Oreochromis niloticus: one gene and its partner. The protein of the gene in region 1 purifies or fractionates together with the protein of each later gene. This does not show direct contact. Links are inferred from orthologs where the notes say so. Each region holds a gene or a part of one and is shown on either strand. Other genes may lie near its edges.

The links.
Region 2: the proteins of tubgcp2 (region 1) and mzt1 purify together in Homo sapiens (affinity purification with mass spectrometry; 4 studies listed by BioGRID and IntAct, counting the BioPlex papers as one, with this or other methods). This does not show direct contact. The link is inferred for Oreochromis niloticus from reciprocal best matches to the Homo sapiens genes TUBGCP2 and MZT1.

The regions. Positions count from the first base shown.
Region 1 is NC_031973.2:4,929,828-4,945,690, forward strand, and holds the start of tubgcp2 (gamma-tubulin complex component 2), read right to left. Parts: upstream 5,848-15,863; 5' UTR 5,695-5,847; intron 5,331-5,694; 5' UTR 5,320-5,330; coding exon 5,170-5,319; intron 4,277-5,169; coding exon 4,148-4,276; intron 3,891-4,147; coding exon 3,714-3,890; intron 2,908-3,713; coding exon 2,748-2,907; intron 2,656-2,747; coding exon 2,448-2,655; intron 1,565-2,447; coding exon 1,365-1,564; intron 619-1,364; coding exon 429-618; intron 352-428; coding exon 206-351; intron 128-205; coding exon 1-127. UniProt on the Homo sapiens protein: Component of the gamma-tubulin ring complex (gTuRC) which mediates microtubule nucleation.
Region 2 is NC_031978.2:13,422,543-13,437,700, reverse strand, and holds mzt1 (mitotic-spindle organizing protein 1), read left to right. Parts: upstream 1-9,008; 5' UTR 9,009-9,232; coding exon 9,233-9,284; intron 9,285-9,415; coding exon 9,416-9,561; intron 9,562-13,585; coding exon 13,586-13,609; 3' UTR 13,610-14,038; downstream 14,039-15,158. Other genes in the region: dis3 (exosome complex exonuclease RRP44), read left to right, coding at 1-19, 109-210, 1,496-1,560, 1,651-1,735, 1,894-2,021, 2,121-2,207, 2,343-2,499, 2,771-2,985 and 4 more; bora (protein aurora borealis), read right to left, coding at 5,029-5,049, 5,369-5,503, 5,601-6,166, 6,648-6,810, 7,124-7,392, 7,493-7,549, 7,654-7,698, 7,827-7,905 and 3 more. UniProt on the Homo sapiens protein: Required for the recruitment and the assembly of the gamma-tubulin ring complex (gTuRC) at the centrosome.

The DNA of each region.
Region 1 (15,863 bases):
CTGGCGTAATTGTAAGCTTTCTCTATCTGCTCCACGTAGGCCCTCTCCTTCAGGGTGTACAGCACCTCCTTAGCATCAGGACACGTCACGTCCCGGCCACACTCCCGCACCACATTGAGATATTTCCCTGCACGATAGCACATCTCAACATCGCCTAAAGGATTCCCATTTTATGTTCAACAAGTCTTAAATGTTCTGTTTTTACCTGTGCTTAGTATTTTGTCTGCCATCTTCTGTAGAAAGGAGGGAATCCGATGCTGCACAATGGTGTATCTCTGATCCCAGTACTTGTCATTGTAGTCTTCCTGAATCTTCTCCTTCTGCAGCTCGTGCTCCTCCACCATGAACTCACTGTGGAGACACAAAATATGAGCTTAAAATTTTACAACACACATTATTCAGAGTTAAAACTCTGGGAGCAGCTGAACCTGTACGGATCCTTGATGATGCCCCTGTAGATCCACTTCTCCAGGATCTCAAAGTACGGGACGCTGGCTGCTTTGGTGAGGTACAGACACAGCTCCTGAGCCTGGCTGTCACCGGTGTAATTGAAGGTTCTGTCATGGAGAAGGCTCAACGTTGACCCTCCCATACACTCTCCTTTGTCCACGGAGGACGCTGTGAACACAACAGAAAGCATAATTTAACTAAATATCTGTTTTATAATAGGTGAGATTCCACACTAATCAGGCATTTTCAAAGTGTTCAGTGTTGTTTGTGTTGGTGCGTTGGTGAATCTAGACCCGGTTTGATGTGCTGCATTCTCTTATAAAGTGGGTCAGATCGCCTTCCAGTCAAATGAACTCTCTGGTGCTCATTTAAAGAAGCTTAGACTGCAGGTCTTCTACGACCTGTGACCCACAAACTAACTTTTACAAATTGAAAACATTCAGAACTCCTCCTCACCACTAATCTGCAAATTCAGCTCTATATCTCTACAACAGATCAACATCTTTTCTTAATATCTGCTTTGTGAAACATATGTTTAAACATTTTTATGCTTATTTTAAACAACATCTGAAGACCGTTTAGAAGCAGATGAAATTTTAGGGCTTGTAATTCAATAAACTGCTGGTATGCAGAAGCAGAGATCCCCAAATCTATAAACATCCAACTTTAAGTTATACATTGCACTAAATCAAGTCCACCCTGGCAAAGGAGAAGTAGCACTCTATTCTCAAGAGACTTTCTCCACCCTCTGGTTTGCAACTTGTTCTCCTTTTGCACCAGGATGGTGCCAGAACACCAGCAAATCTTTTACTGATCACGGCGCCCCTAACTCATCCTTCTTTCAATGTTTCTTTGCCAACTTTTAATTCATCATGGCTGCAAACAACAACCATGCATCATCTTCAGTTTCTTACCGATTGATGACAGTATCTCCATGGTGCGCATGGTGGGCTGGATGTAGAACCAGAGCTTCTGCAGGGACAGCAGGCCCTGCCGCTGGAGATGCTCCAGCTGAGTGACCAGAATCAGATATTCCTTCATCAGCGTCCTCATCGCCGCCGTCAGGGCGTGGTTTACCTGGCCGTACTCGAAGGATGATTTCTCCTCAATGAACCTGGAGGGCAAATGCAACACATCACCTTTAATAATCTTATAACACATAATCTCTTTTAGACCCTTTAAGCAAAGATCATATGATTCTGAATTATTTGATATTTATGTCACTTTTTTCAAGCTCTAAATCACTGTGACTCCCATTGATATCAATCATTAAACATGACATTAATGCAAAAGAGCAACAGAAAATAGATAAAAGGACTCAAGAGACCAGTTAAAATATATACTTTGTATTTAAGGCGCACATATCATACATAGAATCAGATGTCTAAATAATATATATAAATAAACCTTTCAAAGATAATGCAAAAAAACACATGCAGCACATTTTAAGACATTTGGAAATTAAAGTTAGAAAATTTAATTTAAAAAATTTAAAAACTGTTTTGTGAACAGATATTCAGGACTGGAGGTACTCTGATATTTGCCTCTTTTACCCATGCAGAAACCTGGAGGGCTGAAAAAAGACTTTTAAAATTTCCAACTTTACAGCTACAAAAACTGATCTCTAAAGCAAATTTCCTCATGTAATAACCTAAAACCTCTACAGTATGATTTTCTTCTCTTTTCTTTGTACATCCATTTATAGTTTAATAAAGCTTAAAGTCAGGTGTGTGGCTTTTTTGAGTGACAGCTGAGTCACTAACCTTTGTTAACTGCAGTCACTGAACTGAAGCTTCGATTCAAGGTTATTCTAAAAACTCAAAGCTGATGTGAAGTAAACATTTTAGTTACAAGAGATGCTGTTGGGTTTTTCTTTTGCATTGCATCAACCTTGAGGGTCCTAGTAGTTCATCTGGAAAACTCATTAGTGATTATGTGCATTTGTGAACTTAAGCTTGTTAGCAGTAGCTCATACCGGGCACAGTCTACGCTCTTACCGTGTTATAGTGGAGTAGTATGAAGCGACCGGTAATATTCTGTTGACAAGCTCTTTGACAGACATGTCCAGTGTTGGATCAACGATGAAGGAGCGGTTCTGCCGCCCCAGCACCGGCTGAGCGGTGATGTCTCGCCCGTCGACTCCAATCAGCACAAACAGCAGATCCTCCACCAGAGCTTGTTCCTGCGTCCCCAGAGGCAGCGTACCTGACCACGGACAGCAACCACATCAATACGCACAGGGGGACTATATTTAGACTCCATGCTGCACTTGTGAATGTGTAAATTTACCAACTTACCAACGGGCACAGCTGGTTCTCCTTGAGGGGTGGGGCTGGTGATGAAGTCTCCGATGAGAGCTGGACGATCATACACCCAATTGGGGAAGACGGGGTTGGGCTGGGTGGGGTTCTTCTTGTTGTGTTTGTCCCTCAGCATCTTCCGTGTGACTTCAGCCGGCTGCAGGCGAATTCCAAAAACAAAGAAACTCAGGATTTAAAAGCAGCAGATGGTAAACCGAGTGAAATTTAATTTAATATTTATCAATAGAAATAGACTGACCCTTCTAACCTTTAGATTAAACTATTGATCAAGGCAGCTTTTTATTCAGAAAAAAGGATGTTAGGATCTTTCTGCTGAGCCCAAGTGGCCAAAAACAAATCATCTGCATGTCTAATCACTCCTATGTGAAATACAATGAGAATCTAATGTGAATGAGAGCTTTTTTAATCCTTTTTATCCCCTTTATTAGCCTGAGATTCATCATCTCTGATCTGATCTACTTTAAGAAAAAGAAACCTGAATAGCTCTATGAACAAATATTCTGAAACTTAAAAAGGACCATCTCTGTGAACCTCCAACTCATCTTAATTGTAGTACTCCAGAGAGCAGCCTTGTATGACTCACAGTCCAAAATAAGCCTTCTTTATCTTATACTGGGCCTTTGTGCAGCTTCCCAGCTCATTAACTGTTTGAACCAAACTGTTTTAGCTCCCCCATCTTCAAACCCACTTTCCTCTGAGTGACTGCCCCTCAAAAATTATTTGACCAGCAGGTGGTTGGAACTTTGCGCTCTCTTTGACATCACACAGAGCCAAAAGAACAAAAACTATCTGAATCTGTTTCCATATATAAAATCGACCAATAAATACATCCTATCTTAATTAAGTTTCTAGCTGAACTTATTTTAGCTCCAACCTGTCCTGTAGAGTTTCACAGGCTAATCTAACCTTCAGATCAGTAACATCTGAGTAAGAGATGCTCACCAGAGGAGCGTTGGAGCTCGCTGTTACATTGCCAAGCTTCTTACGCAGCTCGTCCAGCTCCTGCATGGACATCTTGGTGCTGGTTTGAGGCAGAGAGTAACTGGTTGTCGTGGTTGAGGTGGTGTTTGCTGAAGACTCCGACCTCTCTTTAGCATTCTGCTGCAGAAACTGGAGGGTCTGCAAAACAATATCAAGACAGGGATGCAAAATTAGATTCAAGTATTTTATCAACCAACTCTCTGATGGAGGGACATAAATCAGCAAATTTCTTACTTTTGCTGTGTACAGTGTCTGGAGTAGATTACATTTTTTAAACTACTTTTCAACATTAATAATAAGGAAATAATTGTGATTTTAGACCAGGAAGTATAGAAATATTTGGACTCTATGACAAAAAGAACCAGATGAAAAGCAGCATGTAAATGAGGCATTACCTCTTTGTCCTCACAGAGTTTGGAGAGCAGATACACCAAAGGGTCGAGGTTCCGAACATTTTTGGACTTAAGCTCCTCATATTTCCTCAAGAAATCCTCCGGGGTTTTAGAAAACTCTGCTAACTTGACCTGAAAGTGACACAACATGCAATATGAATAAAATATTCAAAGAAACATATCTGTTGCGAACATTGGGTGTTTAACTAAGAGTAAGTTATAAAACTTTAGCGTTAGGGAAGTGATCGCCACTGCAAACAAGAAAAGGGGCTCAAGGTGGGGGTGGGATTACATCCCTGACAGACTTCTCAACTAATCCTGACTTCCTCATGCATTACCACAAATCCTGTCTTAGTACCTTATCATATACTTTCTCTAGATCTACAAAAACACACAGTTCAGTTCTTTCTGAACTTCTCTACACTTCTCCATCAACATTCTCAAAACAAGCATCCCATCTGTACTGCTCTTTCTTGGTGTGAAGCCATACGTTCCATTCCCCAGGCATCCTTTCACTCTACAAGATTAACTTCAATACTCTGTCATTGGTATGTCAGGTATGTCATCTGAACCAAGAGCCTTTTCACTCTTGATCCATCCATTGTCGCCTTCACTTACTCCTTACTAATCCTCTGCACTTCCTGATTTCCTACCTGTCCCCCATCTATCCCATCATCCTCTCTCCTCATTTTCTTCATTCATAAGAATCTTAAAGTACTCCTTCTGCCTCCTCACCAAACTCCCTGTACTCATTAGTACATGTGCAATCTGGAAGGACAGCCGGTCATAATGATGCATTTGGGATTTTGCTAAAGTTAACTGCGAGATTAATGTCTCTGGGAGGAGTTAACAAACATTACTATGGTGCCAAGTGCAGAAAAACACTCCTTCTGAGAGAGCCTTTGTCTGCTGTAGTGTGACTGCGTGTCTGATAAGAGGACAGATGCTAATTAAAAACTAAATTATCAACTGATGAGCCATGAAAAGCACTGCAGTGAAGCACAGTGTAGTACAGTATAGCCCACCTTGGCACTGTGCGCGGACACTGTGGTGGTGACATAGGGGGTCCTGTGTTTCTGGAGCAGGTCTATGTAGCCCTCTGCTCCGTCGCCGCCTCGCACATGAAGTAGGCTGAGCAGTTCGTTCACGTCGTGGTGGATCCTGAACTCGCTCATGGCTCCCGCAGCTGCCATAACGACAAAGAGGTTTTACTTTGTAGGAGAGGGCAGAAATAAAGAGAAAGAATTTCGCTCAGGCGGTCACAATGGATATGAACATCAGAGCTGCCGGCTCACACTGACAAACATCAGATGAAGCTTAGTTGAGGGTTTAACGGCTGTATGTTTATGACATCCTGTCTTTCAGTGGTGATGCAGAGCTAACAGTTGTTTACGCTAGCTGGCTAGTTAGCCTGCTACAGCAGGGGGATGCTATCTAGTAGCTCTCTGAGCCAAGTGAAACATGAAATGCCATAAAAGCAAATAACAACGTAACTCAGTAACATGAAGCCCTGTTACAGGTTTAACTAGAGTCTGAAGTCATCACTCTACCTGGCACTCGCCTTTCTGCAGCGTTTACCGGGGCAGATAGCAAACGCGCCCACTACTATCAAATTCTTCTTCTTCTCCAGCAGCGAAGTGACGGCGCCACACTGACCCCTACAGGTCAGTGACCTTGTGACGCCTGACCATACAAAAATAGCCAGAAAATTATGTATTTATTTATTTATTTAAACCGGAGTGTATATTGAATATTCTGACAAATAAAAAAATAAATTAAATATAATTTCACATATATTAGTTAAAAGTTGTAACATTTTGGCTCTTTTGTGCAAAGTATTGCTTATGAAATGTATTGTGCAATTTATTCATGTTTGTCAAGGAGAAAAAAATCAACATTGATAATGCAGAAGTTTCAAAATCTCACAAAAATAATATTTCAAATAAGATTAGGTTAATAGGTAATAATATCTTAATGCTGGGGCTGAAAGTCGAATTGTAATACAAAAAGGAATATAATAACTACTTTTAAAAATCAATTTCGCAAAAATCTATCAATCATAAAACAGGCATTTTCTCTAAAATCACAATACTGCTTTTGTTACTGTACTTGAACCCGGGTAGATGTCTGCTTATGTATAAGTTTGTAGATTAACTGCAGCTACTATGATGCTGACCAAGGTTATTATAGTTAACTAAAACTAAACAAAAAACTAAAATTAGATGTAAAAAAAAAGAACCCAAACAATTTTAGTTAACTAAAATACAAATAAAGATAAACTTCTGATAAAGAATTAAAACTAATTGAAAAGAATTTGTGAACTAAAAAAACCTAATTAAAATAAAATAAGAGGAACTAGCCTTAGTTTAAGTATCTGTTAGTGAAAAATTAATATAAATCAACCTACTGTTTATGATGATGTGAAAACAGCAGAAAACATAATTTATTTTAATAAACGCACTAACAGTTTAATTCTTTAACTAATGGAAGTACATCAAATATTAGGGTCTCTAGTTCACTAAGATATCATGGTATCGTGTGTACGTCTTTCACACAGAAGTGGAGATCCACGACCAAAGAGACTTCCTCCACCATGGGCATCGTGGGCTGAATGTAGAACCAGAGCTTCTGTTGCTGGCGGTGTTCCAGCTGTGTGACCAGAATCAGATATTCCTTCATCACCATCCTCATCGCCGCTGTCAGGGCGTGGTTCACCTGGCCGTCCTGAAAGGATGATTTCTCCTCAATCAAACTCGAGGAAAAACGCAGCATGTCGCCTTTAATAATCACTTAATAATCACCACTTTAAGCAAAGATCACATGATTCTGAATTATTTTATATTTATGTAACTTTTCGGGCTGTAAATCGCTGTCGCTTACATTCACAGTATCAGTTAATCGTTAAACATGACGAAAGTATAAAGTATAGCCCTAATTCATGTAATATGCCTATTTAATTTCATCCACCCTGTGTATAAAAATAATAATCTAATGTATAAAATTCTCAGGGTCATTACTGGAGTATTTTGGAGTTTCTGATGCAACAAGCACATCTACCACAGCTGACATGACTGCTGACATCATCCAAAACTTCAGAGTCATCTACTCCCTCCCCGAACATAGCTGAGGACTTTACTGAGGCACCACAGGCTTCTACAGCTTTCTCCGACATAACTGAATCTGCAGAGGTATGTACTGGGGTCTTTGCAGTGTGCATGATTTGGTGGATCTAAATGGTAAATGGACTAGTTCTTATATAGCACTTTTCTATTCTACCTGTGCACTCAAAGTGCTGTGCGTAAAGAGTTTTGGGGCTACATGTAAAATCTTGTTTAGGACCACCAAATCCTAGAGTCAGCCCTGGAAAGGGGTCAGTGCAGAATAAACGGTTTAGGACAGGGGTGTCCAAAGTCCGGCGTTGGCCCGCGGTCCATTTTTAATTGGCCCTCAAGTAATTTTATAAATAGAATAGAAAATAGCCCGCACTTCAACTTTTGCTTGAGTGTATTGCACTTCTTAGTTTTAACACCAGGGGGAGCTACTGTTAATCAAGGCAGTTGCTCTACCAAAAAGGACAATCACAGAAGAAATTTACCCCAAGTTACCAAACATGGCAGAACCAAAGAAGCAGAAGGTAGAAAGTGAATGCAGAAAATTTCAGACACGGGGGGAGTGAATATTTCTTCAAAGAATTAAAGGGGACGTGTGTCTGTTTGATCTGCACTGAAACTGTGGCAGTTATGAAAGAGTATAATGTACGACGTCATTATGAAACCAAACATCAGGCCTATGCATCCTACACTGGTGCTGAGCGAGAGCAGAAATTAAAGCAAATGCTAGCTATCATGCGGGGTCAGCAACAGTATTTTTTTCGTGCTCAAATTGTCCAGGAAAAGGCTCCAATAGCAGCTATGAGGTCGCCCAACTCATCGCAAGACATGGCAAGCCTTTTTCAGATGGAGACCTCATAAAACGCTGCCTCGTTAAAGTCACCGAAATAATGTGCCCGAAAAAAGTGCAGGACTTCAACAATGTCAGCATGTCCAGAACTACAGTTGTGCCACGCACTGAAGACTGTCAGCCAACATTAAACTGCAACTGTCTGATAAAGCTGTGCTTTTGATTTTTACTCCATCGCATGCGATCCGAGCACTGATGCCACAGACACCGCACAGCTGCTAATTTTTTTTTTGCGGGGAGTGGACGAGAGCACGAGCACTTTAGGTGAGTAAAAAATATATTCCACAGTACCCGTGTGTTAATAAGCATGCATGTGCAGGTACACATGCTTCAAATATCAATAATGCGCATCAATTCTGTCACTATCCTGCTTTTGCGCACCACTTTCTTATATGCGTTTTTCTTGTTAACCAGTGTTGGGCAAGTTACTTTGAAATAGTAATTCAATTATAGTTACTAGTTACTTCTTCAAAAAAGTAACTGAGTTAGTAACTGAGTTACAATATTCTAAAAGTAATTAATTACTTGGAAAAGTAACTATTGCGTTACTTAAAAAAACAAAAACAAAGAACGTTTAACCCCCTGGCGTCCAGGGTATAATTGGCCATTTTTTTTACTACTCTTGATTTTCTCTCCACATTTTACCTTTAACAACTATTTACTTTGCCTTGTTTGGTATCATTCTTTTTAGCGCAACCTCACGTGCCTGAATTTACAGTTATGTTCTCATTTTGTCATACTGTATAACCAGAATTGATCTAAAATCAGACAAAAAACATAAAATCACAGTAGAAAAAGTTATTTTTACTGTAACAACCATAAACATGTTTAATGAATCATATTTCATAACTTCAAATGCAAATATTAATTGTCAATTTTAAAATCCTATGCACAAGTTTTGCAAACAACAAAGTTATTTGCATCCATTTACTTTTTACCCCTTTTTTAAATAACCATTTCAAACTATTTAAAGAACAATCAGCTGTTCTTCAATAAGATGCCACACAAATTATTTGTGCCACTCCAAAAAAATCATTTCTGTCCACTATAAAGGAGAACATCACAGCCTGATACCTGCAGGTCTGACAGCAGCAGGTGTATCACTCCTGTTTCTACCTGGAGACAGCAGTCGCCTCATTGTTCTGACACACAACACAAAACTATCCACAACACTACACACTAACTACACAAGACAACACATTAACTACACACTCCAAACACGCTAAACGTCACAAATCTCACATCTCAAAACTCGCTCTCTCTCTTTTCCTGCTCTCTCCCTCTCTCCCTCTCTCTTTCTCTCACCGTCACTCCTAAAACTTTTTTTTGTTTTGTTTTTTTGCTCATAAGCAGAGAGTGCTTGCTAGCGCTAACGTGGCGAAACTATTGAGGGAAAAACGCCGCGTATATATTGTTTATCATGACTCTGGTTTTACGTGGCCTATCGACACAATTTAAAAACTGTCACCTTGTTGCTTTGTCTTTAAGTGGTCATGTGATTGACTTATGACTACTTTATTCTTCCTCAGTCAAACAGCAGCACTCATGCGATTGTTTTGCCTCCTTAGCTCCAGGTGTTGTGCTAGACAGTGATCGTGATTAGCGTCTGCGGGAGCGCGCAGCTGCTTAAAGCTGTAGCGTCCAGATTACTTACAGCTACTTCCGTGCAACTGATATAAGATGCGGTAAGCTGAACACAGCTTCAACCGTCTGTTTGTTGAAAAATAGTAACGGACCGCGTTTCCTTGTTAGTAACTGTAACGCCGTTGTAACGATAGGAATAGTAATTAGTTAGATTACTCATTACCAGTGTTGGTCAAGTTACTTGAAAAAAGTAATCAGTTACTAATTACTGATTACTTCCCCCAAAAAGTAATCCCGTTAATTTACTGATTACTTATTTTCAAAAGTAATTAATTACTTAGTTACTTAGTTAGTTACTTTTTAAAAACACGATTTACAACCTGAATAGGTGATAAAGCGATAGATCTTTCAGCCCAATTCTACTTTTTCTGCATAATCCATCATACAAAATGTAATCAAATGGAAAAGTCTCTTTTTAAAACTTGTTTTATTAGTTTTAATCTTTTAACTTTATGCATCAAGCAAAAATTAAATTATATGCAACATTCTCTGACTGGAAGAAATTTGTTTAACATTTAAACCTATTTTCTGCACATTCCAGCACATAAAATAAAATATTTTTTTGTGTTTACACTCACTCTTTCAAATAGATGCAAGTAAAACACAGCAGAAAATAAATAAAATCAAAGACTAGCGGTCCTGTTGCTCTATTTTCACCTGTAAAGCAGGACTGGGGTAGGCGGAGGTTTACCCTGGTGCAGGTGTGCTGCAGCGGTCAGTGGAAGAATCCGCGAGTTTCTCTGTGAATTTCACATTACGTCGTAGTACACTCGGTGCTTGCTTGGAAGTTTAGGGGTGTGTTTCGCTGTAAAAAGAAGTTTTCTTCCCACGCACAACGGACACTAATGTTTTTGTCACTTTTTATGGAATCAAACTCAAAATAAGGTCAGTACTTCCACGCCTTAAACGCTGCATGCTACACTCTGTCCCGCACTCGATATATTATGATCTGCAGACAGCTGTTGTCACGAACGTCGCACTCGCTTACGTCACTGTCATGAGACGTTCTTGCAAAAAATCACGGTTTTAGTAACGCAGTAACGCAGCGTTCCTACGTGAAAGTAACGGTAATCTAATTACCGTTTTTGCAATAGTAATCCCTTACATTACTCGTTACTTGAAAAAAGTAATCAGATTACAGTAACGCGTTACTGCCCATCTCTGCTCGTTACTGAAAAAAGTAACGCCGTTAGTAACGCTGTTACTTGTAACGCTGTTATTCCCATCACTGTTGTTAACACACAGAGTACACACCGCTGTGCACAGCGCACGCACACGCAAAGTCAGCTGATCTCATCTGATGCAGATCTGCTCCTTGATCAAGTGACATTTGTCCGGATTTTTGGCACGAGTGGCGTACGATGAGCACCGCGGCTGGATGGCTCGATTTACATACCCAGCGCAGCTGATACTCACCAGAATAATTCACTAAAATTATATGGACTCATGTTATTAAGTCCAGTTCAGTCTTTTAATGTTGATTACCGTTTCAAATGAACGTTAATAGGTGTGTTGCTAAGTCTAAGAACTTAAATAACAAGCTTGAAATTTACCCGTCCCATTTTCCCCTTCATTGTTTTTTCTCTGTGCTGTAAATCTTCTGTCCAAGAAGAAATCTGCTGCTGTTCTGAGAATGAGCTACCAAAGCTGTTTTGTCTTTAATTATATTCAACAATATAACACATTTGACCACTTTTAAATGATTTTTCTAACTTTAATACACTACAGTTAAGGTTATATACCTAATTTCTAGTAAGTGGCCCAGCCCCTCCTATATTTTTATGTATGTGGCCCTCAGTGAAAAAATTTTGGACACCCCTGTTTTAGGACTATTCATACTGAAAACGTAATGCCTCCCCGTCGGGGAATCGAACCCCGGTCTCCCGCGTGACAGGCGGGGATACTCACCACTATACTAACGAGGAAGGTGCCCAACAGCTTTTATGTTGCAGTACCGATCCTGGCCACAATAATGTCCATTATGGGATAGTGTTGTTGAAATTGAAATTGATTTCCATTGCTATTTTTTGTGTGATTTTGTTGTCAGCACATTCAACTATATAAAGATATAGAGAACACAGTATTTAATAACAATATATCATTCATTCAGATCTAGGATGTCTTTTAATAATAATAATAATGATATTTATTATTTTATTTGAGGGCGCCATTCTAAAACCCAAGGTCACTTTACAAAGAGAAAAATACATCAATAAAACAGTAGATTAAAATACATTCTAATAAATTAAAATACAAAAAACAGGAAAATACAACCACAAACAACAAATTTAAAAAAACAAAAAACAAGACAAAAAAAACACGATTTGACAACAAGTAAAATCTGTATTAAAATGAGTAAGCCAGTTTAAACAAGTAGGTTTTGAGTTGTGACTTAAATAAGGAAAGGGAATCTATATTTGTTAAGGCTGAAGGAAGTGAGTTCCAGAGCCAAGGAACAGAGCGACTGAAAGCTCTGTGCCCCATAGTGACAAAGCGAGCAGAAGGAACAACAAGATGAGTGGCAGATGAAGATTTGGTCTTATTTTTGTGTTATTTTTTTGAGCAGTGTATATGGGGCTTTCCCATCATGTGCAGTCTAACTTTTAACATTTCCAAGAACGAAAACGTAATGCCTCCCCGTCGGGGAATCGAACCCCGGTCTCCCGCGTGACAGGCGGGGATACTCACCACTATACTAACGAGGAAGGTGCCTGACGACCTTTATGTTGCAGTACCGATCCTGGCCACAATAATGTCCACTATGGGATAGTGTCGCTGTTTCACCGTTTTGATACGTTAGGTTGTACAGACTTATTTATGTGTATCAAACGTCTAAACAGCGGGCAGAGAGACTAGAATGACTAGATACCTCAACGTAGAGTTCTCTACCGTCAACGAAAAAAGCAAAAAAACAGACTCACAGACATATAACAGGTATGGCAGTCCATTCTCCCTGCAGCACAGACTACACTGCCCATGAGGCTACATTCTTTAGGGCTATGCCTGTAACACTCTGCCTATTGCCTTCATATTGAATAATTTTTTGAATTATAATTTTTAAAAATATATTTATTCATGTCATTATGCAGGCTGCAAGTAGAGGTGACATGGGCCGTGAGATTGAGACCCAGGCATTAGAGCCTCTTAATGCGTGTTTTGTTTGGGTTTCCACCGGGGTGGAATTACCAAAAATAGGAAGGGCATAGCCTAACATATGAAACAGGAAAAGACTGCCGTGTAATCAATTTATTTCAACAAAGTAACTGTAAACGGTAACTGTAACAGAATACAGTTACTCATATTTTGTATTTTAAATACGTAACGCCAGTACATGTATTCTGTTACTCCCCAACACTACATATAATTGGTAAACTCTCAACAGTGCCAGAAGACTAAAGTGGATAAAAATATATTACATCTGTAGTGGTTTAGCACTCCCATAGAAAGTGAATGGAAAACAGCTGACAGCAATGACAGCACTTAAAGCTCCAGGTAGTAGTATTGAGACATTTAAAGACTGGATAGAAGAAACATTTACTGAAATAGCTCACAAAAAACTTTTCATTTGTGGAGATCTCAATATTGATTTGCTAAATCCAAATAAACATAAAACCACTGAGGAATTTATTAACACAATGTACTGTATGAACCTATTCCCTAAAATTACTAGACCTACCAGGATCACATCACATTGTGGAACTCTCATAGACAACATTTTTACAAATGACATTGAAAATAAGACTGTAAGTGGACTCCTGATAAATAAGACACGTATGAAGAATTCCTTAGAATATTTACATTATTGTACAATACCAACTGTTCAATAAAGCAATATAGTAGGAAACATAAATATATGGACTGAACATGGATAACAAAAGGTCTGCAAAATGCATGTAAAGAAAAATGCTCTATACAGAGATTTCTTAAGAAAGAGAACTGAAGATGCTGAAATCAGACACAAAAGATATAAAAATAATTAATATACTTAGATATAGTAAAAAGGAATACTATGAGAAGCAATTAGATATAAATAGAAATAATATTAAAAGATTATGGGAAATACTGAATAGTGTTATAAAACATGGGGCTGGACAAAAGAACTATCCCAAGTATTTCATTGATAATGACCATGAAGAATACAATATGGATGATGTGGCAAACAGTCTCAATAAATTCTTTGTAACTGCTGGAACAAGAACAATCACTGATCCTGGGAAAGCACAGGAAAAACTGGATACATTGATAAACAGAAATCCACATTCTATGTTTCTCACAATAGCAAAAGTGAAAATAGCACAAGTTATACCTCTATACAAATCTGGCAACAAACACCATTTCACAAATTAGAGGCCTGTCTCTTTACTACCTCAATTCTCAAAAATTCTTGAAGAACTGTTTAACAACCGACTGGAAACATTTATAGATAAACATAAACTACTAAAAGAGAGTCAGTACGGCTTCAGATCAAGCAGATCAACATCACTGACACTATTAGATTCAATAGAATACATCACAAATTCCATAAACAATAAGCAATATGTGGCTGGGTTATTCATAGACTTGACAAAGGCATTTGACACTATAGATCACGATACATTAATAAGAAAACTGGAACATTATGGTGTCAAAAGGGGTAATTTTAAATTGGGTCCTGAGTTATTTAAGTGACAGGAAGCAGTTTGTGAAATTAAGTGGTGGTTGCTCCTTATGTATGGACATTGCTTGTGGTGTACCACAACGGTCAGTTTTGGGCCCAAAATTCTACAGCTTATACATTAATGACATTTGTAAAGTGTCCAAAGTATTAAAAATGGTATTCTTTGCTGACGATACAAACATCTTCTGCTCTGTTGATGATCTGCAGCATTTATTGGATGATATGATTAATGAAGTAAGAAAAGAGAAGTTCTGGCTTGATTAAAAACAAAATCATTAAATTTGAATAAAACTAAAATTGTGTTATTTGTAAATAGTAGGTTAAATAAATAAATGGTGTTGATATTGAAAGAGTCAGTGAAAATACATTTCTAGGGGTAATAATAGATGAAAAACTTAACTGGAGAGCTCACCTAAGATATATTCTTTCCAAAGTATCAAGAAGCATTGCAATCCTAAACAAGGCAAAACAGATATTAAACGGGACATCACTTCATTATTCGCTATTTTAAGCGAACAGATTTTGTGTAGTATTTTTTTTCTCTCTTCTTTTCTTTGCTAAATGTACCTGTGTATTGTTTACATGATCGAAAAAAAAAAGGAAAAGCTGTTGCCTCCCCGTCGGGGAATCGAACCCCGGTCTCCCGCGTGACAGGCGGGGATACTCACCACTATACTAACGAGGAAGGTGCCTGACAGCCTTTATGTTGCAGTACCGATCCTGGCCACAATAATGTCCACTATGGGATAGTGTCGCTGTTTCACTGTTTTCAACGTAGAATTCTCTGCCATCAATGAAAGCGGCAAAAAAGCAAACATAATTAACGTATGATTCAGTGGACAAAATATATTGCATCTGTAGTGGTTTAGCACTCTGGGACATCATGTCTCGCTCCATCCACCACGTTGCACCACAGACTGTGGTGGATTTGGTGGATGCTTTAATCCAGGTCTGAGAGGAGATCCCTCAGGAGACCATCCGCCACCTTATCAGGAGCATGTCCAGGTGTTGTAGGGAGGTCATACAGGCATGTGGAGGCCACACACACACACTACTTAGCCTCATTTTAACTTGCTTTAAGGACATTACATCAAAGTTGGACCAGCCTGTATTGTGTTTTTCTACTTTAATTTTGAGCGTTACTCCTAATCCAGACCTCCATGGGTTGCTAAACTTGATTTTCATTGACAATTTTTGTGTGATTTTGTTGTCAGCACATTCAACTATGTAAAGAACATAGTATTTAAGTATTTAGTATTGAATAAGAACATTTCATTCATTCAGATGGAGGATGTCTTATTTTTGTTCCCTTAGTTTTTTGCGCAGTATATATGAATCTTTCCCATGGTGTGCAGTCTAACTTTTAACATTTCCAAGAATGAAAAGTTAATGCCTCCCCGTCGGGGAATCGAACCCCGGTCTCCCGCGTGACAGGCGGGGATACTCACCACTATACTA
Region 2 (15,158 bases), on another chromosome or scaffold:
GGAAAATGGAAACCTCGAGGTACAAATACACTGTTAGTAAAAGTACTTGTGTCTGTAAAACTGTACATGCGAGTCTTTTGATGTACTATCCATGTTCGTTTGCAACAGGTGGGCGTCCACATTGCTGATGTCAGCCACTTCATCAGACCTGGCAACGCTCTAGACAAAGAGGCAGCCAACCGTGGCACCACAGTGTACCTGTGTGGCAAAGTAAGAAAATCCACCTCGCATGTTTGCATCCTTCATTAATGCATTTTAAACCATGATATCAACAACAGTACCACAGTGTAAGTGCCTTTAACATAAGAGAAAAAGGAAGCACTCTGCTGACAACTATTTTAAGCAAACGGCTCAAAATTTGTGTTGAACTGGCCAGCATGACAGCTCTGTCTATACTACATAATTTTTTGCGGGGGCGTCTTCACATGTACTATCCTATGTGCGAAAGGTTAAGTGTTTACAGAAAAAGAGAACGAGAACACTCACATAGTGCAGTAAACTTAAAACGAAGTCTTGAATTTTATCTTAGAAAAAAAAGTGGGCTCAACTCAAAGTAGTTTAAAATCATCAAATGACACAGCCAATGGCTTTGTTGACATTTAGAGGTTTCAGTGAATGGCTTAAGAATTTAAATTGATTCAGCCATCGGTGTGTACATGTTCAGAATTGAAATATCAAATTTCCAAATGTAATTACAGTTATAATTAAATGTGGTAATTGAACCCCCCTGGTCTGTACTCAGCTCCACACGTCGTTCCAAAAGGCTTCTGCTGATACACAATAGAAAAGCAGGTGAGCCAGGCTGATATTAACAATATTTTCACAGAATACACAGGTGTTCCTGTCCAAATTAAATTTCTTTGGGAGGAAGTGGAAGGGAAATATACTTTCTCTGTATCACCTTAACCTCTTCGATCACAATTTTTGTCACAAAAGTCAGCGAATGCGATGCAGAGTTTTCTCAGGTCAGAACAAATATTAGTGTGTTGATCTCAAAGGGACTGGGCTGGCTTTTGTCAGTATTTTATAACCTTTAGTAGTGCAATTGGAACTTGTCACAGAACATGCCATAATACATCACCTTTTTTATCCATGAAATCCGGCCCAAATCCCTGCAGACCTCCATTCTTCCGTTCCATGTGCACAGATGTGTTTTTTACCAAGTCGAATGTAGCTCCTGCTCCCTGTCCTTCTGCATTTTTGGTCTATTTTTATTGGTCACAGAAATATGTGTCACACCGAATGTACATAATACCGTGCTGCTTTCAAAGTTTGATTGTGCGATTGCTCTCCGGTCTTCATGCTTGCACTGCACTGTGTTGTGTTTTGCTCAACACTGCAGGAAACTGTGTGATGCAAGCTTATTATGGGCCTTTCACTTAGAAATGGCTCTAATAGTAGAAACAAATGTGCAAATTTCTTCTTATTTGTATTTCATTTAAATCATCTGAATATGTTTGATTTTTAACAGTGTGTTTAATTTTGTATCTCACAGAGGATAGACATGGTTCCTGAACTGCTCAGCTCCAATCTTTGTTCTCTGCGGTCCAATGTGGACAGGTAATGACACAAACACACGCAGCCTTTTCCCGTTAAATGAATAAAACGAATGTACTTAGATTGTTTGGTTCTTTTATTTGCTTTCACCAGACTCGCCTTTTCGTGTATCTGGGAAATAAACCACAAGGCTGAAATTCTAAAGACTCGATTCACAAAAAGTGTTATTAACTCCAAGGTATCGTGCCAACACACATGCACAGTTAGCATTTTGTTTTTTAAATTTATACCTTTTTTTTTAATGTTAGCATTTTGTGTTAGATTTTATGCAATAATTTTTTTTCTGTATAAGGTTTATTATTACTATTATTGATGATTTTCTTTGTTTTGGTCCAGGCGTCTTTGACCTATGCTGAGGCCCAGATGAGGATTGATGACACCAACAAGAATGATGATATAACAAAAAGCCTACGGGGTCTGAACAAACTGGCCAAAATCCTGAAGAGGCAGAGGATAGAGAAAGGGTAAAGACCAAAGTGAAAGAATAGTAAAAAAACAGAGGCAAAAAGCTGGATATTTAGACTTGCTGTAATTCACATGAATCTAATTTTGATATCATTTAGGGCACTGACACTGTCCTCTTTAGAGGTCCGTTTTCACATGGACAGTGAAACCCATGACCCCATTGATCTTCAGACCAAAGAACTCATGTAGGTAACTTTGAAAAGGAGCACTCTGCAGAATCCATTTCTCTGCAGAAGCTTCTTTTTGTCTTCATATTTTTCAGTGTATGAGTCATGCTGTGTTTTTGATGAGTGTAAATAAAACCATCTCCTGTTCATTAGGGAGACAAACTCAATGGTTGAAGAGTTCATGTTGCTGGCCAATATTTCAGTTGCTCAGAAGATTTACGATGAATTCCCAGAGTGCGCTCTGCTGAGGAAACACCCAGCACCACCTCCGTCTAACTATGACATCCTAATCAAAGCTGCAAAGTCTAAGGTGAGTAAAGGCAAACAGTCATGTGAATTCTTGCTATGAAAGAAGGACATTGTGTCAGTAAAGCAGCTTTAATTCAAGATCCTGACTAAGAGCATTTTTAATTTTAAATAGTTTTGTAGGTTTCTCTCATACTGGAAAGCAACTGCATAAGTCCCTGCTTCTAGTTGGGAATCACAGCAGTACATTAAGTACAAAAACTGGTAAATATGGTTAAGTTTTTAATAGAAAAATATTTTAAGGTGTCAACATTTTTGTTTCCAACTCCCATCAGGAGGTCGAGGTCCACACAGATTCAGCAAAGGCACTGGCTGACTCGCTTGATGCAGCCAAAGTGGATGGATTCCCATACTTTAACACGCTGCTGCGCATCCTGGCCACTCGCTGCATGATGCAAGCTGTCTATTTTTGTTCTGGCATGGACAGCGATTTCCATCATTATGGTCTCGCCTCGCCCATTTATACGCACTTCACGTCCCCTATCAGGAGGTATGAAAACAGATGTTCTACACATCTTGGCAAAATATGTGTACGTCAGGCTTTTCTAACAAAGAGATGTTCAGAATTGATTATGGATCAGTTGTTTCTATACTCTTTTGTCATCCAGTTGAATTCTTTTTGTACTTTGTGCTCAGGTACGCTGATATCATTGTGCACCGCCTGCTGGCAGTGGCTATAGGTGCAGACACCACCTACCCAGATTTAATGGACAAGCATAAACAGTCAGCTCTCTGCAATAACCTCAACTACAGACACAAAATGTCTCAGTATGCACAGCGGGCTTCTGTGGCCTTCCACACACAGGTAAACACACATCAACATGTGAACTGTGTGAACTGGTTGTCTTTGTCTTATATTAAAACCCTTTTTTTTTCTGCAGTTGTTCTTCAAGAGCCGAGGAATCCTTAATGAAGAAGGATTCATTCTGTTTGTGAGGAAGAATGCAATCATCGTGCTCATCCCAAAGTTTGGCTTGGAGGGAACGGTGTTCTTTGACTCAAAAGACAAGGTTTCCCCAAACATAGTGTTTGAGGAAGAGGTATGAACACCTTTTTTTGGTAAATTTAAAAGCAATCAGCTTTGTATAGAAAGTCAGTAGGGTTTAACATGTTTTTTTTGCACGTGTGTAGGGTCCCACTCTGTCTGTAGAACAGCACAAGTTCCACATATTCGACAAGGTGAAGGTCACCATTAGCCTAGATGACTCCAATATTCAGCACCAGAAGATCCGCATGGCTCTGATTGAACCAGTGGTAAGAAAGACCAAAACTGAACTTTTAACAGTTAAAAGTATTCAGATTTGATTGAAGACTATTAAGATACAGATTTCAGTCAACCCTGATAAGAAAATGTGCTCATTTTTTGCCTAGAAATAAAAGTTTGTTTTATTTTAGATCCCTGGTGTGAGTGTCCCAGCCCCAGATACCGAAACACCAGCCAAGAAACAAAAACTGGACCGCTGACACAGGAAGGAGCTCTCAGTTTTCACCTAAACCACATGATGTTCCCGTTTGGACTATTTGATGTATTGATAAAGTTCAGTTGTTTTGTTTTGCTAAAAAAAAAAAAAAAAAAAAAAAAAAACTTTTTTAATGAGTAAAATTTTGCTCTTTTATATGATTTAAAACATTTGTTGGAAGAGTAAGCTGTCTTACATACTAAAGGCAGCGCAGTCATTAAAATGATTTTTTTAAAATTGTTTCTGATGTACAAAACTTCTCAGAATTATTTTCAAACATGATTTGAATTGAGTCATAAGCCAAAATATTGGAAGATTTCACCATTTATTTGTTTATTTATTTAAATATTAGAAGTTTACAGCTTTGTTTTACTTTTATTCCTTGGGTTGATTTAAATTATTAGCAAATAAACACCCTGTGCAGAGGTCCATAAAACAACGTATCCTGAAGCCAGTCAAAAAAAACAAACCTGAACGTAACTTAATGTGACAATAATCCAGAAACTGAATTTAACTATTAGAAACAGAGCGAAGAAATGGCTCAGTCAGCTTTTAATTCATTAGTGGCATTATTCAGCGCATCAGACTGTGATATAAAACAACTCCGTATCAAAACATGATAAAAAAAAGTTTTATAAAAATCATAAATACAGCTCAGATCTGATGTTGCCTGAAAGTCAAGATATATCCAACACCAAATTAAAAGAAAACAAAACTCCCAAAAAACAACAGAAATTGTGCTAGGATCAATACAGCTTTCAGGAAGGTTATTGTTGTGCAAGTTGAATGCAGACTTGATAGTTTGATGCTGGTTTCAAAAGTACAACTGTCTGTGGATTAGACTTCCCTTTGATAACCTGTGATTAAAGAAACTCTGCTTCCAGTCAGGTAACTTGTGAAACCCCATGGTTGTATTCATACCTCATTTAACAGTTAACACAATTCAGTCTAACTGAACATATTTACCATAAATGCTTTAGACATAGTGTAAACCTTGTTGTATTTGATTGCAAAATATTAAGCACATGCTTTCACTAGAAGAAGAATCCCTTTCAATCCATCTATCACTTGGCTCAGTGGTGAGGAAAAAACACCTGAAAGAGAAGAAACTTAGTTTTAATCAAAAGAAGAAGAAAGTAAGGATATACAATGTACACACTAGAGCACACTTCAGGGTTTTCTGTTACACTAACATGGTCGTTGTTTAAAGTGTCTAATCTTAGGTTTTTCTCAGTGAAGAGTTGCTTAAATTTTACTAAATGAATGAAAGAAGTAATTTTTTTTTTTTTTTTTTTTTTTTTTTTTTTTTTTAAAACAAAACTTAATGCTGATAATAACAGTTTTAGGAACAATTAGATCTAAAGGCACAAACTCATGTATCCACATTCTTGTGATTGTGTGTAAAGTCAGTACCTTTACTTTAGTGTGTCGAGTGACTTGGAAGGCATCTTCTGCCATGTTTGAACTGAAGAACTCTTTGCTGTCAAAGTCTTTGTTGGTGCCATCAATAAGACTGACTGCTGAGGTAGTGTTATAACCGCTGTCCACCTGAACACGTGCAAAAAGCCAGTCAATCAGAAATATTCTGTTACCCAAAACATCAATATGAAATTATCCTTCCCGGGGTTAAGCTGTTTTTACAAACCTGCATGCTAGAATCGTAGCGTATGCTGCTTCCTTCTGCCAGGAGAGACACAAACATGTGAGAGTTTTCTATTGCTGATGCATTAACCATGCGAGAGCTGGTCAGCTGCTCGGAAGGCCCCACACCTTCATCCTCCTCATACTCGAGCCTCGGTTCAATTTCTGTCTCTTTGCCTTCCTCCATTTTCACAGGTTCCATTGGGTCCATGCTAACTCTCTCAGTGTTGGTGGGGTGAGAGTCTTGTGTCAGGGGTGATGATGACGAATCTAATTCCATAGAGGGGAAAGAAGAGCGAGTGGCAGAGGGGAGGTGTTCTTCAGCCACCTCATTGTCTGGGAGCTTAGGGTTGAGGATCGGTGAGATGAGGGGAGGGGAAGCCCAGCAGCGGCCTCTAGGTCTGGGCCTGGGTCGAGAAATGCGCTGGGGTTCATTGTGGCAATGGAGCTGGTGTGGGGAGCAGCTACGAATGGGAGAGCAACCCTCAACAAATGGACTCTCACTGCAGGAAGCGACCATGTCCAGGGGGGCACCACGTGGGGTCAAACAGCTCGGCTGGTTCCTCTCAGCTAAAGAAAGAACACAGTAACAATTACTTGCCTTTTTACCAACATTTTGTCTTCTCAGTCACATATTCTTTGTTGGATCATAACATTCCTGAAGCACATCCCCATTCAGAAGATAACGAAGACACATCTGCCTCAATTACCAGTCCTTAATTCAATGTAAAGACCAAATTATATAGGTGTTCTTCTTGCTCCAATGCAACTTATTCTGCATTTTATCATAATATCACCAACTAAATACATGGAGGCATCACCACCATACTCAAAGGATCATGTATTATAGAGGAAGATTTAAAACTACTAGCTGGATGAAAACTGTTGTCATGATAAAAAAAAAAAAAAAAAAATTATATATTTATTTATTAAATACAAAACCATGTCAGTGTGGATGTAGCCTTAGCCAATATTTCTCCAATTTTGATTTGTTTGGATATTAAAATTTTAGTTACAAAGTGTAACTAGTGTTTTAGTTACAACTGTGTACCTGAGCCAACAGGTGTGCGTGCTGCATGTGCAACAATAGGAGAAATTGTGGGGGAGATGAGGCCAGCAGGAGAGGACCTATCACGGAAGAGAGGACTGTCGATGCTGCCAAGGCTACAATCCCGGAAGCGTCCGTGCTGGATGGGACTCGAAGAGAACTGACCCTAAAATAGCAATAGCAATTTTATTTATGTAGCACATTTCATTACGTGTAAACTGCTTAACAAAGAAGATAAAAACCTGTGTAGGTTTACAATCCTTTAAGGCAGCAAAAACACAAAAACAAATCAACAGCAACTATTTAGTGTAAGCCTGGGTGAAGGCTTAACAGTGTAAATGTTCATTTTCCTGTTATTAAAATATTCGTTGAGCAAAATATGATCTCCAGATGCATTTTTTTCTTTTGAATTTTATGCTTAAAATTAAATTGTTTGGGTAACGGTTGTGTATATGAAATCCCTACACTCCTCTACTTACCGTAGAAGGCGTCGGAGCTGACACACCACAGGCCGAAGGGGAGGAAAAGATAGCCGATACAGCTTCTCCCTCAGAACCTTCAACGCAGTCTCCTCTCTTGAGAGATGGCTTTTCCTGACCGGCATTGCCTCTCTCTGGACTTGGAGGGCTCGAGCTGTCTGAGCCACTATAACTATTTTGGCCATCAAGGAATAGTTTTCGTCGCAAGGAGGAGCTGCTAAGACTCTCCTGCACTGGATCACACACTTCTTCATAACGGTAATATTCCCCTGTGAGAAAAAAAAAAAAAACAGAAACAGTGACTTGACAGCAGATTGTTCGATTTTCTTTTTCTCACTATGATCCTGTTGGTGTTTAGTCAAGGTTTACCTAGAACTTTCTCCAAATCAAAAGCCAAAGGCAATGTAAGGGTTGTCTGACATCCAACTGTAGATCAAAACACACAAAGTTATATATATATATAAAAAGTAGGTAAAAGGGGGAAAAAAAGTCAAAACAGGTAAAAAAAAAAAAAAAAAAAAGTAACCAACCTGAAATTTTTTCTGGCTCCTCTGCAATCATTGCAGACATTGAACCTACAACATTAAAAATAAAAGCATTTACAAAACCAGAGTTCAACAGAAATCTATGGATAAAAACAAAATAAATACAAATACAAAACCTATAAGAATTAAGAAGTAACATAAAAGATAAGATAACTTACTACTCTTAGAAATCTGAGGGACTTTACGGGTCTCTGGTGCCGCCCAGGGGGAAGGGACAATTATTCCTTTGGTGAAAAACTTTATTGGAGACAGGATAATGACATCAGTACAAAGGGAATCTATAAATTTTGGGTACACTAAATTCTGTATCATTAGTAAAGGATGAGATTTGGTTACCTGCTCAATAGCATTCTGACGTTTTTCCTCAATGTCCGAATCCGTCCTAAAAGAAAGACCACTCACGTTTGATAGAGTCTTTAATAAGCTCCCCAGGTTTAATACATAGAGGAGGTATTAAAATCACAAAATAAAACAATACATTTCTTCCTCAAAGAATTTCACATTTGTCACAGTGTCAGCCTTATTACATCACTTACCTTGTCTGACTGAGGTAAAAAGATTGTCGCTGAATTTCCTCTGGGTCTATGTGCACTGGTAGGAGACTGGCCATTTCATCAATAGACCAGTTAAACTTAGGTGGAGTCTGGGTAAATTAAACAAGTCTAGAATTATTAAGAGACTACATCAAATCATGAGTAAACGAGTTGAGTAGATGATATGAAGTAAATTTAAAACTTACAGCTTTACAAGGTAGGGACTTGAATACAGATGGACTTGGCACCAGCGGTTCGCGAAGATGGTGATAGTCGTTTGGACTTTCAAAGGGGTTTCTAATGGAGGGCCTGCCTGGAGTCTCTGGAGTGATCTGGATCTCAGCATGGTCCCCCATTTTAGCTGACAAGAAATATCAAAGTCGGGATGACGATAAATGACAATCCAATCACAAAAAGACACTAAAATTATTTCGTGATAAGGCGATTTTTTGTATTATTTTGTTCTACTCTGGTACGTTGGCTACATTACTCCCTCTGTTTCTATAGCGTTAAAAAAAAACCTTCGAAGGAAGCAGCTTTTAAAATGAGGATTTAGCTTCACACATTTCACTTCACCCCTAACTTATTTATACATTTACGCAAGAACTAGATAACGTTTGTCTTACAACTGTTGGTACTTACAATTGTGAATGAGCCGGAACTCTAACAGCAATATTCATTGGAAAGCCAGCAGCAAACAATCAGCAGAGAGACCAGTTCAAACGTTTTTTAATTTCGCCCACAAGGTAGGCTAGCCAATAGAATCGTCGCAGGAAGTTCGCGTAACCAATGAAGAATTTCGTGTCGTCACTTCCTTCAGCACACTTTCGCGAGTAGCGGCAATGAGCGCTGTCAGCTAGCTAGGATCTTATATTGACCTTTACGTGATTGTGCTAGCCTGGTTTTTGCTGATTCAATCTAAATGTATAAGAAACGCCTGAAATCTGGCTGATTTTTTGCGTTGTGTCTCTAAGTCTTAATTTGTCAGCCACTTGCTAGCAAGCGTTGGCTAGCTATAGTCATCCATCACTATGGCCAGTGCAGCAAACGCAAACCTAAACGCAGTACGGGAGACGATGGACGGTAAATATGTAATTACTGCGTGTAGTATTTTGTGTATTTGTATAATAGTTGTAAATTCATCTTAAAATATATATAGTACGTTTTAGCATGTGTGTCATAGCTGTGTCTGTTTTTACCTCCTCCCCCAACAGTGTTGCTGGAGATCTCCAGGTTGCTCAACACTGGCTTGGATATGGAGTCTCTATCCATATGCGTGAGACTGTGTGAGCAGGGCATCAACCCAGAAGCTCTTTCTGCAGTCATCAAAGAACTGCGGAAAGCTTCCGAGTCCCTTAAGGTACAGACACAGCCTCCCTAAAAGCTAATCAGCTCACATTGTACATACATGTAGATACTTTACTGAGCCAACAAGGAAATTATTGTTAAAGCGGCAGAAGGATAAAAATGATATAATCTACAGCATTATTAAAGGTACCACAGGCTTATACTTGATTTCTTATTAGGAAAGGTCTGGATCCAGTCTGGATCCTTTCTGTATGACGTTTTGCATAGTCTCCAGGTACTCACCGTCCCCCCCACAGTCCAAAGACATGCATGGGGTTAGGTTAATTTTGGTTCCAATTTAAACACAGGTCTGTCTGTGTTAGTTTTGCATTCTTTATGAATGCAACTGGCATTAAAAAGAACATGTACACTATAAATCTGAGAAATCACAGGAAGAAGGTTTGATACAGAAATATCTCTGCCATCTAATCTTGTTTCACCTTTTTTCACCAGTTATATAAAGGAGACTTGTAGAGTTTTATAGAGAACAGTAGGAATGCTTTCCTTTATGGCAGCAAAGTCAGCCCTCTGTAGTTTGGAATGGAGTGAGTTAGATGGGTTGTCCATAATGGTAAGCAGTTTATTCAGTGACCTCCTGTCCCTCACTGACTTAAGTGACTCCAGATTCCAGCCAATGATGGTTCCAAACTTGTGGATTAGTTTGTTGATCCTGCTGGCATCTCTGGCACTGATGCTGCCTCCCACTGCTAACTGAATCTGAGCTTAATTAGAAAGTCCGGTCTGCTCTTACCCTTCTTGTACATAGCATCACTATTTATCCTCCAGACCAGTCTTTCATTCAAGTGAACACTCAAGTACCTGTCCACTGTTTTACCATCCTTACCTATGACATTAATGGGCTTCGGCACATTTTTTTAAAAATTTCCTCTAAAAGTCAAACATCATCTCTTTTTCACATTGAGGAAGAGGTGATTTCTGCCAGACCATTTGTTTGAAATATGTTAAATATGCTTGAAACTATGTGTTTAGAAAAATACTTTACATTTAAGTTTTTTTTGTGTAACTTGAACAATTTTCACATTTTTTTTTTAATATCTTTAAGATGGGATATGCATGAAACTGTTAAATGCACATCTAACCCTACTTCAGTGAATAAACAAGTGGTATGTCCCACAGTGGCGGTCACTTGTCTGTGGAATCGGTCCAAGTAGTTAAATTCTTTGGAATTGTTAGCCTGCCTGCCTATCAGATTCGCTTATCAGTTCTCATGGCACTGGAGGAGGAAAATAGTGACACAGTCTACAGCATGGATATAAACAATACTTTAGTTTTAAAAGCCAGTACGATGGTAAATTGCAAACTGCCCAGGACAAAAACAACTGAATTTTGCTGCTAACCTAACTACGGATCTTTACAAGCACCTGCACAGACGACATGCTAACGCTAATCTAGCCAAGAACCCAGAGTGATGTTAAAGCTGAGTGAATGCTGACCCCACCCCAGCATACTTTGTGTTCATACATAAATACTAAAGAAAAATACTAGAGTAAAGATCATATGTGTGTCCTCATTAGGATAGGGATTTGTGTTTGTGTGTGGGACTGTAGCCTATAGGTTTATACTGTTATATAATATGATATAAAATTCTATAATTATGAGACAATGAGTTTCAGGTAATTTTATGGAGAAAACTTTCTCCTGGGAGTAATTAAGCAACATAATCCATTACATTTAAGAAAAGTGTTCTGTGTAATCCCTCAAATATGTAATACCTGTTCTAGTTATCATCACACCACCCAACCGAGTCTTTCCGGACTTATTCAGATGTTTAATTGATGTCAATACAAAAGCGAACACCAGCAATGGCAGTGTGACAGGCTGTGTGTGTGTGAAGTATAGATAACATCTGAAATTTAAGAATGTTTATAAAGATGCAGCCGGGTGTAGGGTGACAGAACCTCTTTTTGCATACCAGTTTTACTGAGATATGCCGACACAAAGTAAGCAAAACACCTGATTTTAAAGCATTATGGGCATATTATTAGATTTGCACAGATATAAGAATCAGTATAACCAAATCTTGAACACAGATTTCCAACCAAGATTATTTTACTCATTGAAAGAGGCTTAACATGTCGTCCAGAAAATAAACTGTGGTCATTTAATGCATATCAGGATATGAAGTACCAGATTCACAGAAGGGGTTTTTATATATATAAAGTTCTCTCCTAACCTGCTGCTATTGGCCCCTTTCAGATATGCTCTGCTGCATCTATAATCTGTTGGCTTCCTGTCTAAAAGACCACCACAGTCAACTTGCAAAAAAAGTAATTACTATAAGTGAGCCTTTGTAACATTTTTTTATTCAAATCTTTCAACAGAAGTCTTACTGCATGCAGTTGCCTTAACAAATAGAAAATGCCATAAACAGTCATAGCACATGCAAAAAGCATTTTGTCCCTTTCACTCATTTCTAATTTTCGGCGTTTCTTGTGTATGTTGCATTTTCTCTATTCCCCAATTCCAAAGAGAGATCTCTTTATCTCTCAAGCTGTGTATGAAAGGATACATACAGCTTTCTTAGAATTACCATCCAGTACTCAAAATCTCTCTCTCTCTCTCTCTCTCTCTCTCTCTCTCTCTCTCTCTCTCTCTCTCTCTCTCTCACACACACACACACACACACACACACACACACACACACACACACACACACACACACACACACACACACACACACACACACACAGATCTTGCTTGGAGAACAAAAAAAAAAAAAAGGATGAAGAGCAAATGTGGTCAGTGCTCAAGCCCACAAGCAAACAAATCTTTGGTATTGATGATAAATATTCTACACGTGTCCTTCAGTGTCATGAGACTACTGTGAGTATGAAGCTGGGAGGAACATTGATCTAAAAGCGACCTACTGTACACTTACTGGCCACTTTATTAGGTACAACTGCTCAAGTCCTCAATACAGCAAACATCTTAACCCATCACATGTGAGCATCTTGATGTATTTAGGCAGACATATAGAGATAGTCAAAACAACCTGCTGAACCTGAAACCAATTATCAGAAAGGTGATTTAGTTGGCTTTGAGGACAGGATAGTTGTTGGTGCCAGACAGGCTGGTCTGAGTGTTTTAGAAACTGCTGATCTACTGGGATTTTCCTGCCATGAATCTCCAGACTGCTTTGAGCTGATAGGAAGGCAACAGCAACTAAAAAGAACCACTTGTTGCAACAAATGTATGTAGAAGAGCATCTTTGAACATACAATGTGCTGAACATTGAAGCAGATTGCCCACAGCAGCAGAAGACCACACTGGGTGGCATTATTGTCAGCTAAGAATAGGAAACTGAGGCTATGGTTTGCAAAGGCCCTGCCTTTTATCAAGAATTCAGGACACTGGTGGTGGTGTAATCGGGTTGGATGTTTTCTTGGCACTCTTTGGGCACCTTAGTGGAAACTGGACAGTATTGTTGATGAGCTTATCCATCCCTTAATGACCAAAGTGTATTATCTTCATTTAACAGCTCAAATAATCCAAAACTGGTTGTTTCACTGTATTCAGATGGCGCCCAGATTTACCAGATCCCAATCCAGTAGAGCATCATGGGTGTGCAGCTGACAAATCCACAGCAACTGTGTGATGCTGTGGTGTTAGTATGGACTGAAATCTCTATCTGTGCCATGAAGTTATTGCAGTGCTGAAGGCAAAAGGTGGTCCATCCCGGTTCTAGCAAGGTGTGAGTGTATGTCAGAACGACAGACAGTACAGACTGAGAGGTTTAGTTCTGGTTGGTCTGTTAATTTTGTTGATTTCGCTTACAGTTTTCTGTTTGTGCTAAATTAAAAAAAACAAAAAACAAAAACTCTTTGGTTCTCATCGCAGAGACTGAAAAACCACATTAAAGGTCATGTGTGATATTAATTTTGAGGTAGCCTTTGTGTTTTCCTCGTCTTTTCCCAACCATTCATTTTTTGTTTGGCAAAGATATCATATGCTTTTTACTGGTAAAAAAATGAGTCATGATGATGACTAACTAGCTTTTTATTTATTTTCTCTTTCAGGCTTCCGAGAACTGTACAAACTGAAGATAAAAACAGATCACTTAAGTTTTTGGACCTTTTAATGGGATCGTGCCTCCTACCTGCAAGTGTACATACATGGGATCGCCAGCCAATCAGATTTGTCTCCGTTTTGGCACTGTGTGTCTAATTGGTGACTAATGTGCTTCTCTTTTGTGTTTTTAATGTAGTCTTCTCCTGAAATGAGTTCGTACCATTCTGTCTCAAATATAGACATACTCCATGTTTTTCCTGTTACTTCAGGCTATAATTGACTTTCTGCCTTAATTTGAGTACAGACTCGATTTCTGATCATTAATTTGTTTTTGTTTTTTAATATCTGTAATATATGGTGAATTGTTTTAGTTTTGCATTTCTGTTTTTTCTCAACTTTTGCCATTTTTGTTTTACATGTGGCAGATGAAGTGTAAATTAAAGTGTTACAGTGAGCGGCCACCAGGTGGTGTTGTCTTTCTTATTACAGTCAGAAGTCTTTATCGCTGTTGGGAAGCTTGCACAGTTGTAATTTATTCCACCAAGTTTTTCCTACTGAATCACCATTTCTGTGATTTAATCAGGTACTTTTTAAAATCAATTTTTCATATTTTATTTCTTTATTTTTGTCTTATGTTGAGCCAGTTTTCCAAATCCACCCTGGTGAATTCATAGTTACACCCCTTCACCTTTTATTGGGAGGTTATCTTTGTGCAGGATTTTACAAAGGAAATTATTTTTCCTGTCAGACTGGGTGAAAAGGAAAAGATACTGGTGGAACATTGCACAGTGTAATACAAAAACAGACCATGCAGGACGCACTTCAAAAACGAAGACTTGAACAAGGGTCATTCTTTACAGCAGGATGCACTGTTGCTCTGAAATCTTTCCTCCTTTACGTCTGTGCTCTATTCTCAAAAATCATTGGAGAATACTGCAAACTTGCTCCTTCCCCCCCAAAAAAGAAAACACATCTTTGATCAACAAGGAATAGAGCTCCTAAATCACGTACAAGCACACAGCATTGTTTTGTTTTTGTCCTGTCTTTAAAATAGATCTATTCATCTTCGAGACAAGAGAAAATGCTGAGAGCAGGGAACATTCCTCCACAGGCCATATATAGGCTAGAGGAGACCTCTTATTCACACAGGCTTTTATCAGTAGCTTGTCTGTCCCCTTATGTGTGAGAGCTTAGGTGTTCATGCAGTGCTGTAGATGTCTACAAATGAGTAGCCCCTGAGCCATCTGACAGTAACACCTCACCCCTCACAGGCACGCCACAGAGAAAGCCAGCGATTGAGCAGGAGAGCATGTGTGTGTAAGCATTTCTGTCTTCTTCTGCTTTGTCTCGCCATCTTGACTGACAGGCTCCGAGTCTAAATCTCTGTACTGCTGCTTTGATCTCCTAACACAGTATCTCTCTGTTCTTCTTTACCAACACCGTGTTTAACCAAGAACGAGAGACATACAGACTCGATACGGTGGCTCTGCTTGATAGTCCGTAAGCCAAAACAACCCCAGGTCTCGGTGGGGGGTGAGCTGCAGGAGATGCTGATGAAGGAAGACCAAAACCTGGAATCTT